3 linked regions of the Saccharomyces cerevisiae S288C genome follow. The gene in region 2 interacts genetically with the main gene of each other region. Each region holds a gene or a part of one and is shown on either strand. Other genes may lie near its edges.

Region 1 (3,797 bases), on a different chromosome or scaffold from region 2:
GCTCCTTTGCATGTGCCGACCTTGCTGATCCTTTAGATATGGGAGAGGCTGAAGGCAGAGAAGTTTCTGGAACTGTTTTGGATGAATTACATCTAAAACTTTGTAAAATTAGTGATTTTCCAACTGCAGGTGACCTTAAACACAACCGACTGAGAGGAATGAGCTGCGATGAAGAAGGGGTGACCAAAGACCGAAACCTTATAGATGGCAGTTTAGCCAGTCGGGGACGGGACAGCATGTTTCTGCATATGCCCAGCCGCAAAAGTGGTAAACGACCATTCAACATTGCGATTGGCGATGATGGGACATATATTTCTTTTTCTTTTAATGCAATGATACAAACTTTATACCACTCTTCGAAGCGGCCAGTATTCAATATCATTGTAGTCATTATTAGTTTCCCGTATAAAAGTACGTAAGTTTTCATACACAGTTGCTAGAATATTTAAAATGTATATCAGCGAGTAAAAAAAGAGCTGCAGTTCCCAGGAAGCGTTAAACTATTTTGTTATTGGAGTGGGTTCAGAAGCTGCAGTGCCATTTTTATATTGGGTATAAAAAGCATCTGTTTGCGATCTGTTAAGAACACTAGCGGTTTGTAATTCAGTTTTCAATGAAGAACGGATAGCCTGAGCGGCCACATTCAAATATGCAGCATATGATATACCAGCTTTCCTCCAGGCAGACATTTTATGAATCGGTTGTGGGCTGAAACTGTTGATGTTTCTTAGAAATACATATCTTGCTAAGTACTCAATAGAAAGGCCTACTTGTATCTCTTCATTTAACTAGACGAAAAAGGGGAGGATCAAATTTCATTGGTTCGTATAAAAGTATTAAAAAATAAGCGCGTTGCCAGACTTAGTGTGAGATAGTAAGCTAGTAAATCATCTGCTATTACCTAGTTTAGCGTATTTCCTAATAAGGATTACCAATTCCTCAAGTTCATGGCTTGGTAAGATACAGCTATAGCTTTCTTAGTTTTTTTCTTCGAGAGAACTAGTACAATGCTTCTATAGAAGTTAAGAAGTTTACCTTTTCGAAGAACAAATATATTGTTGCTTTGCTTACTCCGAGGTTATCGACTATTTTTGGCAATCCGTTTGAACCTGGATAAATACGTAAATCAGACTTTCTTTAGCCGGATCAACTCTTTTTTTTTTGTAAGCACTCTGACTTGTCGCTGCTGTGTCTGCCAATAATTCAATAATTCATAGTATTTCATACCATATGCTTTATTTAGTGTCCCACTGATGTGAGTTGAAGAATTGTATTCAGATAGGCATATCTTAAGGTCCAACTATTGCCACCGTCGTAGTGCGGAAAGGTTGATTATCGAGCGAATTAGAGGAATAAATGCTGCTATGCGCACGATGAGCAAATCGGAAGTAAACCACGCCGCTGATCCACCTGAACAAAAGAATCTCGCGGAGTTACGATTTAATGTAGGTTTGCTCAGATTACGTTACTGATACTTTACTTTGGACAAAAGTTCTCATACAAACTGTGGAAACAACACCGCTTAAACCAACGATTATGAAATGACATGGTCTAAAGTAATATAATCTATATTAGAATGTGCAGATGGCTATGGTATCCATGCGATGGCAAACCTCCGCAATGATTGGCGTTCTAGCGGCTATCCGAATTCACAATCGACAAGAAGTACTTCTAACTTACACAAGGCAACGAAATAATATCACTCTATGAAACTGCCATTTGGGTAATAGGAGTATATTGAACGACACCGGGTCAACAAGCAACTTTCCTAAGCCTTTTACACTTCTTCACATCATTCAAGATCGCCTTTTAACGAGCTACAAACCTTCACGTTCGTTCTTCTATGGAAACGTTTAAGATAACGTTAAAACGTTCTCAATCACAGAATTTAAGATGATTAGAAATGTTTTCCAAGGGATAGGGCGAAGCACAACCTCGAAAAATGGCAAAATTTTAGAATCTTAGCCACCTTAACGTCTACTTAGAGCCTTAGAAAAGCCATCAAGATTGGTGGAATAGTTGTTGAGGGAACTTAGCCGCCACATTCTCGTAGCCAAATAAAGCGAATCTGACCATTGTATGTTTCTTTTTCACTGGTATGATAGCCCAATGTGTTTAAGGAAAGTTAGGACAACACACCCGAAGAAGGACGTCACCCCTGCATTCCCAAACGAGCTATGAAATAGCTCTTTCCTCTACAAGTAATAACAACAACTTTTTTGTCTGTTTTCCGACCGTTTAACTTCAGAGATTAATTTTTTCAACGCGCTTTCGTTGAACGTCGCAAATTCGTTTAGAATAAACGAAAGGTGACAGAAATAGAAGATTATAGCCATGCATACGCACATAAATTGAAAACTGTTTCGAGGCTGAGTATTCCCTGCGTCTGCAGCCATCAGGGGTATGACTCTGCTACACGTTTACTATATTCTTGGCTAAACGATTCATTAACGAAGCGATGAGTAGATCACACTCGGCATACGAGCACAAATTTGTATGGGGGGACGGTCATATATAAAAGGGTGTATACGTTATCCTTGTTATACCTGTCCAAAGAAGTGCATTTGTAACTCACAACACAGACACATCCTCACTTTATCATAATGACTACGTTTAGGCCACTATCAAGTTTTGAAAAAAAAATTCTCACTCAATCTTTGAATGACCAAAGAAATGGAACTATTTTTTCGAGTACATATTCAAAATCTTTAAGTAGAGAAAATGACGCTGACTGGCATTCTGATGAAGTCACGCTCGGAACAAATTCTTCCAAAGATGATTCTCGTCTGACTCTGCCCCTAATAGCAACAACTTTGAAGAGATTGATTAAATCGCAACCGGCATTGTTTGCAACTGTAAACGAAGAATGGGAATTCGAGCCATTGAAGCAGCTGAAAACTTCCGATATTGTTAATGTGATTGAGTTTGAAACCATAAAAGATAAGGAGGTCAATTGCCATTGGGGTGTTCCACCTCCTTATCTCTTGCGTCATGCCTTCAACAAGACTAGATTTGTTCCCGGATCAAATAAACCTTTATGGACACTATATGTAATTGACGAAGCGCTATTGGTTTTTCATGGTCACGACGTATTGTTTGATATATTTTCAGCAGCTAACTTTCACAAATTATTTTTAAAAGAGTTAAACGAAATCAGCACAGTAACACACTCTGAAGATAGGATTTTGTTTGATGTCAATGACATCAATCTCTCAGAATTAAAATTTCCCAAATCGATATATGATAGCGCAAAATTACACCTGCCCGCTATGACACCACAAATCTTCCACAAGCAAACTCAGTCATTTTTCAAATCAATATACTATAACACTTTAAAAAGACCTTTCGGCTATTTAACCAATCAAACTTCCCTCAGCTCGTCAGTATCTGCAACACAGCTGAAAAAGTATAATGATATTCTAAATGCGCACACCTCATTATGCGGGACAACAGTATTTGGGATAGTAAACAACCAAAGGTTTAACTATTTAAAGTCAATCGTTAATCAAGAGCATATATGTCTAAGAAGTTTCATCTGTGGTATTGCAATGATATGTTTAAAACCTCTCGTTAAGGATTTCAGCGGTACAATAGTATTTACTATTCCCATAAATTTAAGAAACCACTTAGGCTTAGGTGGGTCATTGGGTCTCTTCTTCAAAGAACTAAGGGTCGAATGTCCACTTTCTCTAATTGATGACGAACTTTCCGCCAACGAATTTTTGACCAACAGTAACGATAACGAGGATAATGATGATGAGTTTAATGAAAGATTGATGGAATATCAATTTAATAAA
Region 2 (6,127 bases):
ACCAAGGGTCATGAGCGTCCCACGAAATGTCGTTCACACCGAGCATATGACCACCATGGGTAAATATAGTTTCTTCGCAGGAGGTATCCCATAGCTTGACTAACCCATCTTCTTGGCCAGCCGTTGCCAATACAGTATCGAAATTTGGACTCCATTCTAAAGTTGAAACGGAAGTACCGTGCTCCATGGTAGCGATTGGGCTTTTGTTCATGTTTCTAATATCCCATAAATTTAGCCTCCCATTTGAATCTGCAGATGCTAGAATTAAAGAGTTCTTATAGTTAAATCTACAGGAGTTTACTCCACCATCGTGTTTTTCACGGTTACTCTGGAGCTTCTCTTTCTTAGTCCTCAGATCTAATAGGGAGACCGCATTTCCTTCAGTACAAGCAGCAAAGAGGGAATCGTGTGTTGGCATCCAAGTTACATCATTCACCGCTGTTCCGTCGCTGTTTATTGACACTAAGGGTAAATCTATTATAGGGTTCTCATGCGAATATTGTTTAATGTCCCAAACTTGAACTTGGCCGTTGGAGTGAGAAGAAAGTAAAAGGGCCTCCTGCTGCAAGTTCCAGGCTAAAGAAGTCGCCTCATTTATATCTGCCGAAGAAGTATCCATTGCCTCCACGTCTTGAATAACACCATGTGAACCAAACAGCTTTGTCTCAAAGGGATGTGAAATTTTGGACTGTCTTATTCTAGTAGAGCCGTGTTTTGTTCTATCGAATATGTAGATTGCACCATCTGAAGAGGCGCCGGCTATAATATCTGGATTTTGAGGCAAATATCTTGCCCTATTGCATTCCCCGTTTGGGAAGAAAATACTGATGTCATTTACTAAGTGTTTGGAGGGAAACCTTGTCGAGTTCTCCGGTTTGAATTCCATTTCGTCCATGTCGAAATTATTTAAAGATGACCATTTTATATGACCCAACGTGGATATTTTGCTAATATATATGGTCTCATCTTCAGGTTTTTGGGAAGATGTAAATGAGGATAACAAGATGCGATGCTCATCCGAAGTGGTATCTAAATCAGGAAAGAACTGGCACGTTAAGGACGGCCACTTTGTTGAATTCGTGTTTAGGTAATCATAAAGTAGTTTAGTGTTTTTCTTCCAGTGCGAGTATCTTTCTTGCAAATCGATGGGTATACTGGAGGCTTCATGAGTTATGTCCTTCGCGCACTGATTCATCTTTGAAACTAAATTTGTATATTGTTTGTCAGAAATAGGACCTGATATCCTCCTTTTAAACAGTTGATGAGAACCTTTTTCGCAAGTTCAAGGTGCTCTAATTTTTAAAATTTTTACTTTTCGCGACACAATAAAGTCTTCACGACGCTAAACTATTAGTGCACATAATGTAGTTACTTGGACGCTGTTCAATAATGTATAAAATTTATTTCCTTTGCATTACGTACATTATATAACCAAATCTTAAAAATATAGAAATATGATATGTGTATAATAATATAAGCAAAATTTACGTATCTTTGCTTATAATATAGCTTTAATGTTCTTTAGGTATATATTTAAGAGCGATTTGTTCACATCCATTCCTTGAATTGATTGATTAAACCGTTGGTAGAAGCATCGTGGGTAGAAATGGTGGAGGAGTTGTCCAATTCCTTGCCGATGACTTTAGCCAAGACTTTACCCAATTCAACACCCCATTGGTCGAAAGAGTTGATATTCCAAATGGCACCTTCAGTGAAAGTAACATGTTCGTAGTAGGCAATCAAAGCACCCAAAGTAGCTGGAGTAATCTTTTGAGCCAAGATAGAGGTAGTTGGTCTGTTACCTGAGAAGACCTTGTGTGGGACCAAACCACCAGTGGCACCTTCAGCCTTAACTTGTTCTTCATCCTTACCAACCATTAAAGCTTCAGCTTGAGCAAAGAAGTTTGAAGCCAACATCTTTTGATGTAATTTGTTCTCAATTGGGTTATGAGATTGAGCAGCTAAGATGAAATCAGATGGAATCAACTTGGTACCTTGGTGAACCAATTGGAAGAAAGAGTGTTGAGCGTTGGTAGCTGGTTCACCAAACAAGATAGAACCAGTAGAGTAGTCAGTAAACACGTTACCTCTGGTAACAGACTTACCGTTAGATTCCATTGACAATTGTTGCAAGTAGGCTGGGAATCTGTGCAAGTATTGGTCGAATGGAGCAACCAAATGGGTTTGAGCACCAAAGAAGTTGTTGTACCAGACAGACAACAAACCACCCAACAATGGAATGTTGTCTTCCAATGGGGTTTGGGTGAAGTGGTTGTCGACGGCTTCAGCACCCTTCAAGAAAGCCTCAAAGTTGTCATAGCCAATGTACAAGGCAACAGACAAACCAATAGCCGACCAGACAGAGTAACGACCACCGACCCAACTTTCGAAACCAAACATGTTTTTGGTGTCAATACCGAACTTGGCAACTTCGGTTTCGTTAGTGGACAAAGCAGCGAAATGCTTAGCAATGTGAGATGGATCATTACCTGTCTTCGACAAGAACCAGTTCTTGGCAGTGTTAGCGTTAGTGATAGTTTCAGCGGTAGTGAAAGTCTTGGAAGCAATCAAAAACAAAGTAGTTTCTGGGTCAACAACCTTCAAGGTTTCAGCAATGTGAGTACCGTCAATGTTGGAAACGAAGTGGACATCCAAGACACCAGCGTAGTGCTTCAAAGCCTCAGTGACCATGACTGGACCCAAATCGGAACCACCAATACCGATGTTAACAACATCGGTGATCTTCTTACCGGTATAACCCTTCCATTCACCAGAACGAACTTGTTCAGAGAACTCCTTCATGTGCTTCAAGACAGAGTCGACTTCTGGAGCAACGTTGACACCATCAACGTACATTGGCTTGTTAGCTCTGTTTCTCAATGCGACGTGGTAGACAGCACGATCTTCAGTGGAGTTGATGTGTTCACCTTTGAACATAGCATCTCTCAAACCGGTGACGTTAGCCTCCTTGGCCAGTTCAATCAATGCAGCAATGATTTCATCGTTGACCAAGTTCTTTGAGTAGTCGAACAAGATTTTGGAACCATCATAGTTGGTGAAAGTCTTGTTCAATTTTTCAAAACGCTTGGCATCTTTTTGGAATTCTTGCTTGACAGACAAAGTCTTACCTTGAGATTCATAAATTTTTTGCAACTTAGACCAGGCTGGCAATTCAGTGGCCAGTTTGAAGTTAGTGAATGAGTTATTGGACATTTTTAGGCTGGTATCTTGATTCTAAATCGATTTTGCAAGACTAGAGGAATATGTATTAAAATTCACTGAATGCAAGTAAAATATTAAGTAAAAGAAAGCATTGATTATGAAGAAAGGACCTTTTTAAGATATGAGAACAATGAGAAAAGGAAAAATGGGACGAAACAAATAGGGAAAATTCCGTCTGTAAAACCAATTGTAGTAACAAAAAACGCTCATTTCAATAGCAAAAAAATAGAATACCGTCAATGGATATATATAGACACGGGACATTATAACAACGTGCAGATGGTGATGATTGCAAACCCAAAAAATTACCAGCTTCCTGTAATTCCAGGTTGAGCGCGTGGCTTCCTATAATCCAATACACCCACACCCACCCAGATCGTGATTTTTGTTACCATCCCGGTTCTTGCCTCATTGACATATTTTTCTGACGGTGACAGAACGTGGCCTTGTACACTCTTTTTTAATGTTACGCTGGCACAACATAGTTCAACGAAAAACGAATTAAGTTCTTACTTCCGTGTTTTAATCAGAAAACGATATTCCAATGAGAGATATAAGCGTAAGGTAGCATGTCCGATGGCAAAATTCTCTTTGCTTCCGCAGCGGGGCCAAAGTCTTACTCGCCTCTAACCCCACGTAGGACAAGTGCTGAGAATAAAATAGTCTTGGCGTAGTATGCCTTCTTCAGTAATATTTTTTCTTTTGAAAGTACTACCCACATCCGAACATTGCCACTTACATAGCGATGCAAATAGCCGCCAGGAAATGCCGCATGTTATCCACTAAGAATAGTCAACATTGCATAGCATCCAAATACGTGAAAGCGGACCGATCTTGAGCGAAATGTTTAGTACCGTTGATGTGTAGAAGTAGTGCCCTGAAATACATAGCGGTGTATTATTTAGCATTAACATACAAAAAAAAAATAACGGAGGCACCAATGGAAGTGGTGTCGCTACATTAGTTTTTAACTCAGTCAGAAAACTGAATTTAGTTGATATGGGACCGCTCCAAGGTAGGAGAATACTAGATCAAGTAAAGCAACCGCACTAGTGCCTTTTTCAAACAAGGTGGTTTGATGAGGAGGCTTTCTACAATCCTAGAAATATAAGACATCTGTCAGATTAGCCGCCGTTCATATGGTTTCAAAAGGTTGCGAATGGAGACAAACGTTCCTCGTCCCAAATTAGCCAGACGGAACAGGACAATAAAGGTGATAATGTAATCCATGACTTCCTCTATTTTAGACGGGACTTTTAGCATCCTCTAAATATTTTCAACCCATACATGTCATCAGCATCGGTGAACATCTTTAATAGTATCGACAACTTGGCTCACGTACTTCTCACCGTCAAGTGCGATTTCCGGGTCATGCAATACCTCGTCTGGTTCTTGATCTTTATTCGTGGCAGAATTATGCTGATCCTTATGAGGAGGGCTCCTCAGCTTGGCATACTTTAGTCGCTGATTTCTTTCCCTCATTAATCGCAGTAGTTGAGCGTGCGACTTGCGCATTTGCGTGAGATTGCTCTCAAAATCTCGTGGGAACCCGTCGTTGACGATAGGTTCTTTCGCCATCTTCTTCACATCATCCAGTGTATCGATTTCAGACCATGATACGTCTTGCGTCTCCGTAGGTGCCAGGTTTGAGTGCATTGTTATACGGCTACCATTTACGCTTCTTTCGTATGCAGTATTACCCCTACTAATGCTGGTCGTTAAGGGGTTTAGTGCTGGAGGCGTGGTTAGGTTTTTGGTCGGAAGTGCGTTGGAACTGCCCATTATAGAGGCAGTGGAATCTGAAGATCCCTTTCTTTTATCTTTGTCGCTCTTTGCCTTTAATTGAACCAGCTGAGGGTTTCCTTCCTGGCTACTAGATTTCCTTCTGTTGGTGGAATCCGCGTCGCTTACTTTCACCTGGACTGGTGGGGTTTGCTTCACTCCCATTATTTGTCTTCGTTCGTGCCAGCAACATACATTTCATCTTATTTCTCTGGAAGGTTTTTACAACAACCAGTTACATTTTTCATTTTTCTGTTCTTCGCCTTTCTTGTTTTGGCCCCGATGACTGAGCGAAAAAAAAAAGGCTAAAGAAGACGCTATGATAACCGCCGAGCAGGTCAAGTACGATGTCGAAAAAGCATCTAATAGTTACATATCGGATTAGGTTATACTTATTACATATCACTTCCATGCTGTTATTTTTTTCAGTGTGAATTATGGCCTGAAAGCACCTCCTGCAAGGGCTAAATTGCTTCTGCTGAACTTGACCTTAAAAACAGGCGTCTTTTTGGTGTAGAACGACGCTACTAAATCGCTTGTAGGTATTACTGTTCTTCTGCGACCATATTCTTTTATATCTTGGTTTATAGATGCAGTAACGTCACCCAAGTATCCAATGAATGGCTCATCTGGTTCTGCGCTTGGCTCAGTAGTGGCCTTTTTCAAATCCCATACACGGACTGTATGATCGGCACCTCCACTAATAAGTACGTTTCCCTCTTTGCTATATGATAAGGAATAAATGGCATTCTTACCATGGCCACGCATTTGTTTCAACCTTTTGCCGGTACCAATATCCCATACATTAATAATACCATCTTCGCTACCAGTGGACAACCACCTACCATCTGGACAAACAGCAATAGAAATGACGGGCGCAGTATGTCCAAGAAATAACCTAACCGAGTCGCCTGTAGAAACGTCCCACATTCGACACGTCTTATCGCTGGATCCCGTAAACACATAGCAACCGTTCGGATGAAATGACACACAATCAACATCATTTAAATGTCCTGCAAATATTCTTAATGGATATATGTGATCGCATGACCATAACCTTGCGGTTTGGTCGTGCGATGCAGTGGCGAAATAATGGCCTAGCGGGGAGAAACTAACATCCCAC
Region 3 (5,575 bases), on a different chromosome or scaffold from region 2:
GATAATAATTTTGGTGAGCTTCTCTTATACCGTAAATTTCAACATATATTTTTCTACCAGGAAAAGTGAAATACGGCCGCTAAGCATCTGAAAAAAAAAAAAGAGCAAGGCGCTGCTATTGATAATAGTTCCTTTGAAGCAGTGCTACGCAGGTCTGAAAGGCTCGTAACTTTAACTTACTTAATGATTAAGAAAGAAATTATTTGACTCAACAAATTCCTAGAAGTTTTTTATAAAAATATAATGAGGCATAATAAACTTCAAGAGATATCGATTACCCACTCCACATTACATTCAAGTTTGACTGGGATATATAGTCTACCATAACTATGTTATTATATATTTTGAAAGTTTCACTAAGGAATGCAGGATGAACATTCAATTAGTATCGACGCATATCCTCTTAATATTGTTCGCTCTGGCAGCCGGATAGGAACTGCCATCTATATATACTGTTGGCATTCTGCAAACCTTATACCTGTGATTTTCATTATAAGCAATTAGGAAAGGTAATGGTAATAAGAGGGGTCATCTGCGTTTCTCTGGATGTATTCTTTCTCTATTAAAAGCTGAATGCTTCGTTTCAAAATGCTCGGTGTAAGACTGAGCCGAGACTGTGTCCGTTTCGTAGTTCTTTCAAGTAATTGCTGATGGCTTAGCTTACCTTCTGTTTTCATGATACGAACAATAATAGCACTAAGCTCCATAACAATTTCATTATCATAAGTGTCCACGGAACTTGCGGTTGCCAAATTATCTGATTTCTGAGATGGTAGAGGGCATGCAATAACCGGCACTTTCACTTTCCTGTTTGGAGAAGAAAAGAAATAATTAACTGAAAATTTCATATTTCCTGAACTGGATGATTTTTTCAAAATCTTACATCTGGGTATTGTCGACATTGACATTACAAGAGACTTAACGTCATCTATGGGAATATGAGTTAGTTCATATATTTCCCCCAACGTTAATTCTTCATAATCTTCAAATAGAAGGAAAATCACTCCAGCGTAAACAGAAAAACTTATTTCGTAGTAACCGCTATTAAATTGGCAGCCAATTTCAATTACACTTAGATGATGAGCCCACTTTAGCACTCTTTCTTTGTATTTTAAGCTGTAATAGCCCTCAAAGCCAGCTAAAATTTGTGACATTCTAGGAGGTAGTGAAATACCTTCATCAATTGGATTAGTACTCTGAAAGGGCCAGCTCGTTCTCGTCAAAACTTGTGGTGCAAAACTCAAATATTCTATGCTGTTGATTGTTGAGTGTTGGAATGCTTGATACATTTCAGAGGATAAAGATATATCTCGCAGCATTATCTCCAATTTTGAGGTAAAAAAAGTTCCTAGAACCTTCTTTATCATTTGCACCATCCATTTTTCAATTTCCACTAAAGACCTCTGCTGCAGTAATCTTCTGGAGAGTTGTTTTTTGTAAATCTTTTCAAATATATCCTTCTCAGTTAGGAGTCCGATTAATTTGGTACTATCAAGCAAATCTTGCTTGATCTTCACTATTTCAGCATCTTTTTCCTTGGTTCGTTTCATACAATGGTCCACGTAGGTAGAAAGATACTCAGATGGTAATGCTCCTTCTTTAGAGAAATACATTGAGAAAACATCGCCAAGTATTGCATTAGATACATCCCCGGTCAAATTATTAAGACGAACAGAACCAAAATCAATACTTTCCAAAAACGAGTGTTGACTGCGATATAGCTCTACAATTTCCGAAGACCAAGTAATCGCATTCTGCCCTTTTTTGCGGTTACCTTCATTAAAAGGAATATTTATGGCATTTTTATTGATGTAAGATTTAATAGATTCAATGACAGTAACGCGATATTTTTCCTCGCTTGACAAGTCATAAATTTCTTGGAGTAGCTTTCCATTTGAAATTACCATTGCTTCGTGCGTTAGATCTTCAATAATATCACTCAACTTTCCCCATATAAGGACATTTTCTAATACAGTCTTCAACTTATTATGAGAATCCACATTTAGAAAAGAGGAGTCTAGCATACTTTCAAACTGCCTTAACTTCCTAATCTTTTCCAGGCTCTCAATTGGCGTTAATAATTCAATATCAATAGCTTTATTGTAGTATTCTTCTGTCGCGCTAATCAAAACCGGCTCAAAATCGGTTAAGAAAAAACTATCTCTATTGTCATGTAATGTCTCCATCATTCCTATTAGTACTTTCCACAAACTAGTATGTTCGGAGTCGACAGATCCTAAATTACGAATCCTTTCTATATCAGATATCAGTGCTGAGATGAGAGAAGATGAGCATTTTTGCAATATTTCGATTCGGAAAAGATCGAGGCACATGTCGTATACCTCCATGCATCTATTTGGTTTGCAATAAACTTTGTCCATATACATCATTAAGTCTCCCGTTATTTTAAAACAATGGCATTGCACCTCCCATAACCGTGCCATAGTTCCAAGAAACTCATAATCATGAGTATTGTCCTTGACTATCGTTTCCCTCAAAAGCGCTAATTTTTGGATTAAATAATCTTTCAATCTGTTATAAAGTATTGGCCCCTTTTTATTTAAAACGATAGTATAAATGGTCTTGTACACTTGTTCGAAGGAAAGGTCGGCCATGTCATCGCTGTATATATGATCAATGGCATATTTAACTGTTTCCCAGGATTCCTCAAAAGATTCTTCTGACAAACCGAGTTTTTCTGGGACACTTATCTTTATTTTCTTATTAGTTATCATATAGTAGCCCTAATTTCAGATTTGAGTTAGCCCGTTTAGAGTATACTTTATATGAATCAGATTAGAATACGCACACTCGAACTTATTTAATGAAGTTGCGATGCGCCAACTCCGGGTAGCTATTTAGTGATAAATCAAGAATCCACTTTGTATTTTAATAGCAACAAGCATTCATAACATATTTCTCCGATAATACGAAAATTTAGTAAAAAAACCACAGGTAATATGTCATCATCAGACATCTTTGATGTACTAAACATTAAGCAAAAATCCAGAAGTCCAACTAATGGCCAGGTATCAGTGCCTTCGTCCTCGGCAGCCAACCGGCCCAAGCCTCAAGTGACGGGCATGCAAAGAGAACTATTTAACCTGCTAGGAGAGAACCAACCCCCCGTTGTTATTAAGTCTGGAAATAACTTTAAAGAAAAAATGCTTTCGACGTCCAAGCCATCTCCTTGGTCATTTGTAGAGTTCAAAGCTAATAACTCTGTGACTCTGCGTCATTGGGTCAAGGGTTCCAAAGAATTAATAGGAGACACACCAAAAGAATCGCCATATTCTAAGTTCAATCAGCATTTATCTATTCCATCATTCACCAAGGAGGAGTACGAGGCTTTTATGAATGAAAACGAAGGAACTCAAAAAAGCGTAGAAAGTGAAAAAAACCATAACGAAAACTTTACTAATGAAAAGAAGGATGAAAGTAAAAATAGCTGGTCTTTTGAAGAAATAGAATACCTGTTCAATCTCTGCAAAAAATACGATTTACGTTGGTTCCTGATCTTTGACAGATACAGTTATAATAATTCAAGAACACTTGAAGATCTCAAAGAAAAATTTTATTACACCTGTAGGAATTATTTTAAAGCAAGTGATCCTAGCAATCCGCTTTTATCTTCTTTGAATTTTTCAGCTGAAAAGGAGATAGAGAGAAAAAAGTATTTACAGCGTCTTCTTTCTCGTTCTGCAGCAGAAATTGCTGAAGAAGAGGCACTCGTAGTAGAGTCCAAAAAATTTGAAATGGCTGCCAAGAGAACACTTGCAGAAAGAGAATCATTACTCCGACTGTTGGACTCGCCACATTCAGATCAGACAATTACACAATACCTTACCTCTCAGGGAATGTCTCAGTTATATAACGCGCTTCTAGCAGATAAAACTAGAAAGCGGAAGCACGATTTGAACATCCCTGAAAATCCTTGGATGAAGCAGCAACAGCAGTTTGCCCAACATAGGCAACTTCAACAACTGAATGTAAAAAAGTCAGAAGTCAAGGAAAATCTCTCCCCCAAGAAAACCAAAAGACAAAGACAGGAAATGCAAACGGCGCTCAAAAGAAAGTCAGAAAGCGCATATGCAGAACAATTGCTGAAAGATTTCAATTCAGATGAAAGGAAGGCTTTAGGTGTGATTACGCATGGTGAGAAGCTATCGCCGGGTGTATACTTAAGATCTACAAAATTATCGACCTTCAAACCTGCGCTGCAGAACAAAATTCTCGCCATTCTTCAAGAATTATCGTTACCTTCTCGCCCTGTGATGCCCTCATTTGATGTAATGGAAAGACAAGAGGAGCTTTTGAAAAAAATCAATACGCTTATCGATTTAAAAAAACACGTTGACAAATACGAAGCTGGTATGTCAATCACCAAGTGAACATCAGAAAATGCTTTTTGCTAGCACGTATGTGATTAAAATTTTTGCGTAAAATAGACTGTTTTATAATATTTGGTGTACAACATGGGACCTTCAGAGGTACTTTCGGAAATCACGCAAATATTATGCACTAGTAACCCTCAATCTCTAAATAACTTATATTGTCATCTGTAAGGCAGCAAAATCCAAGATGGGCAATGTATATAGGTATATAGTTTAGTATTGTCATCTCATAGAATATCAACTGCATAATATACATGTATATATAATTTCCCATTCATTTAGAGGCTTCTTTTTTCGTCTGTATCGCTGAACCTTATGCCGGTTAAATCTAACAAAATTTTTTTGAACTGGAGGAACTAAAAAAAAAAATATTAATCTTGACTAATATACTAATCAGTCACTTTACATCTTAATGAAACCGAAAGAATCACTGATAAAATGTCCGACTCCGACTCCGACTCCGATTATGAATTGTAAGTACAGGATATTTTCAACACAGTAACGTAGAATTACTAACTAACACGAAACTTAATAGGACACTTTCTGCTAATGCCCTCGCTGCCCTTGAAGAATTCAAAAGAGAGGAACAACAACATCAAGAAGCCTTTCAAAAGCTTTACGACGAAACGGATGAAGACTTCCAAAAGAAAAAAAAAGAAGAAGGGATGAAGCTTTTCAAGGAAGATTGGCAGCTTTCCCAGTTTTGGTACAGCGATGACACAGCCGCAATTTTAGCAGATGCCATATTGGAAGGTGCGGACGAAAACACTGTAATTGCAATAGTTAGTGCGCCATCCGTCTATGCTGCCATTCAAAAGAAACCTACTAATGAAATTCCAACCGAACATATCTACTTGTTCGAATTTGATAAGAGATTCGAGTTGTTAGCTGGAAGAGATCATTTCTTTTTTTATGATTACAATAAACCACTGGACTTCAGTGATGAAATTAAAGGAAAAGTTGATAGATTGTTAATTGACCCACCTTTTTTAAATGAAGATTGTCAAACAAAGTGTATGTATATCATAAACATATCCCTACTCATTTTTTAATCTTTTTTCCAGTATCTTTTCATCTTACTAACTGTTATTCATTGATATAAAATAGCCTCTATCACTGCAAAGTGTTTATTAGCGCCAAATGACAACTCTAAAACTAAGAAAGGAGTTTTTAAGCACCGC

Evidence for each region.
Region 1: mutations in PGI1 (region 2) and ATP15 together harm fitness less than expected from each alone (positive genetic interaction), as found in Saccharomyces cerevisiae (one large-scale study listed by BioGRID).
Region 3: mutations in PGI1 (region 2) and CUL3 together harm fitness more than expected from each alone (negative genetic interaction), as found in Saccharomyces cerevisiae (one large-scale study listed by BioGRID).

The regions. Positions count from the first base shown.
Region 1 is NC_001148.4:26,971-30,767, reverse strand, and holds ATP15 (F1F0 ATP synthase subunit epsilon), read right to left. Parts: upstream 690-3,797; coding exon 501-689; downstream 1-500. Other genes in the region: ATP-binding cassette permease MDL2, read right to left, coding at 1-286; PBI1 (Pbi1p), read left to right, coding at 2,604-3,797. UniProt on the Saccharomyces cerevisiae protein: Mitochondrial membrane ATP synthase (F(1)F(0) ATP synthase or Complex V) produces ATP from ADP in the presence of a proton gradient across the membrane which is generated by electron transport complexes of the respiratory chain.
Region 2 is NC_001134.8:610,688-616,814, forward strand, and holds PGI1 (glucose-6-phosphate isomerase), read right to left. Parts: upstream 3,214-6,127; coding exon 1,549-3,213; downstream 1-1,548. Other genes in the region: MSI1 (Msi1p), read right to left, coding at 1-1,195; YBR196C-A (uncharacterized protein), read right to left, coding at 3,337-3,486; YBR196C-B (uncharacterized protein), read right to left, coding at 3,839-3,943; YBR197C (uncharacterized protein), read right to left, coding at 4,516-5,169; TAF5 (chromatin modification protein), read right to left, coding at 5,440-6,127. UniProt on the Saccharomyces cerevisiae protein: In the cytoplasm, catalyzes the conversion of glucose-6-phosphate to fructose-6-phosphate, the second step in glycolysis, and the reverse reaction during gluconeogenesis.
Region 3 is NC_001139.9:497,292-502,866, reverse strand, and holds CUL3 (cullin CUL3), read right to left. Parts: upstream 2,736-5,575; coding exon 501-2,735; downstream 1-500. Other genes in the region: SWC4 (Swc4p), read left to right, coding at 2,961-4,391; EFM5 (protein-lysine N-methyltransferase), read left to right, coding at 4,833-4,867, 4,930-5,408, 5,502-5,575. UniProt on the Saccharomyces cerevisiae protein: As part of the CRL3 E3 ubiquitin ligase complex; polyubiquitylates monoubiquitylated RNA polymerase II subunit RPO21 to trigger its proteolysis; plays a role in global genomic repair.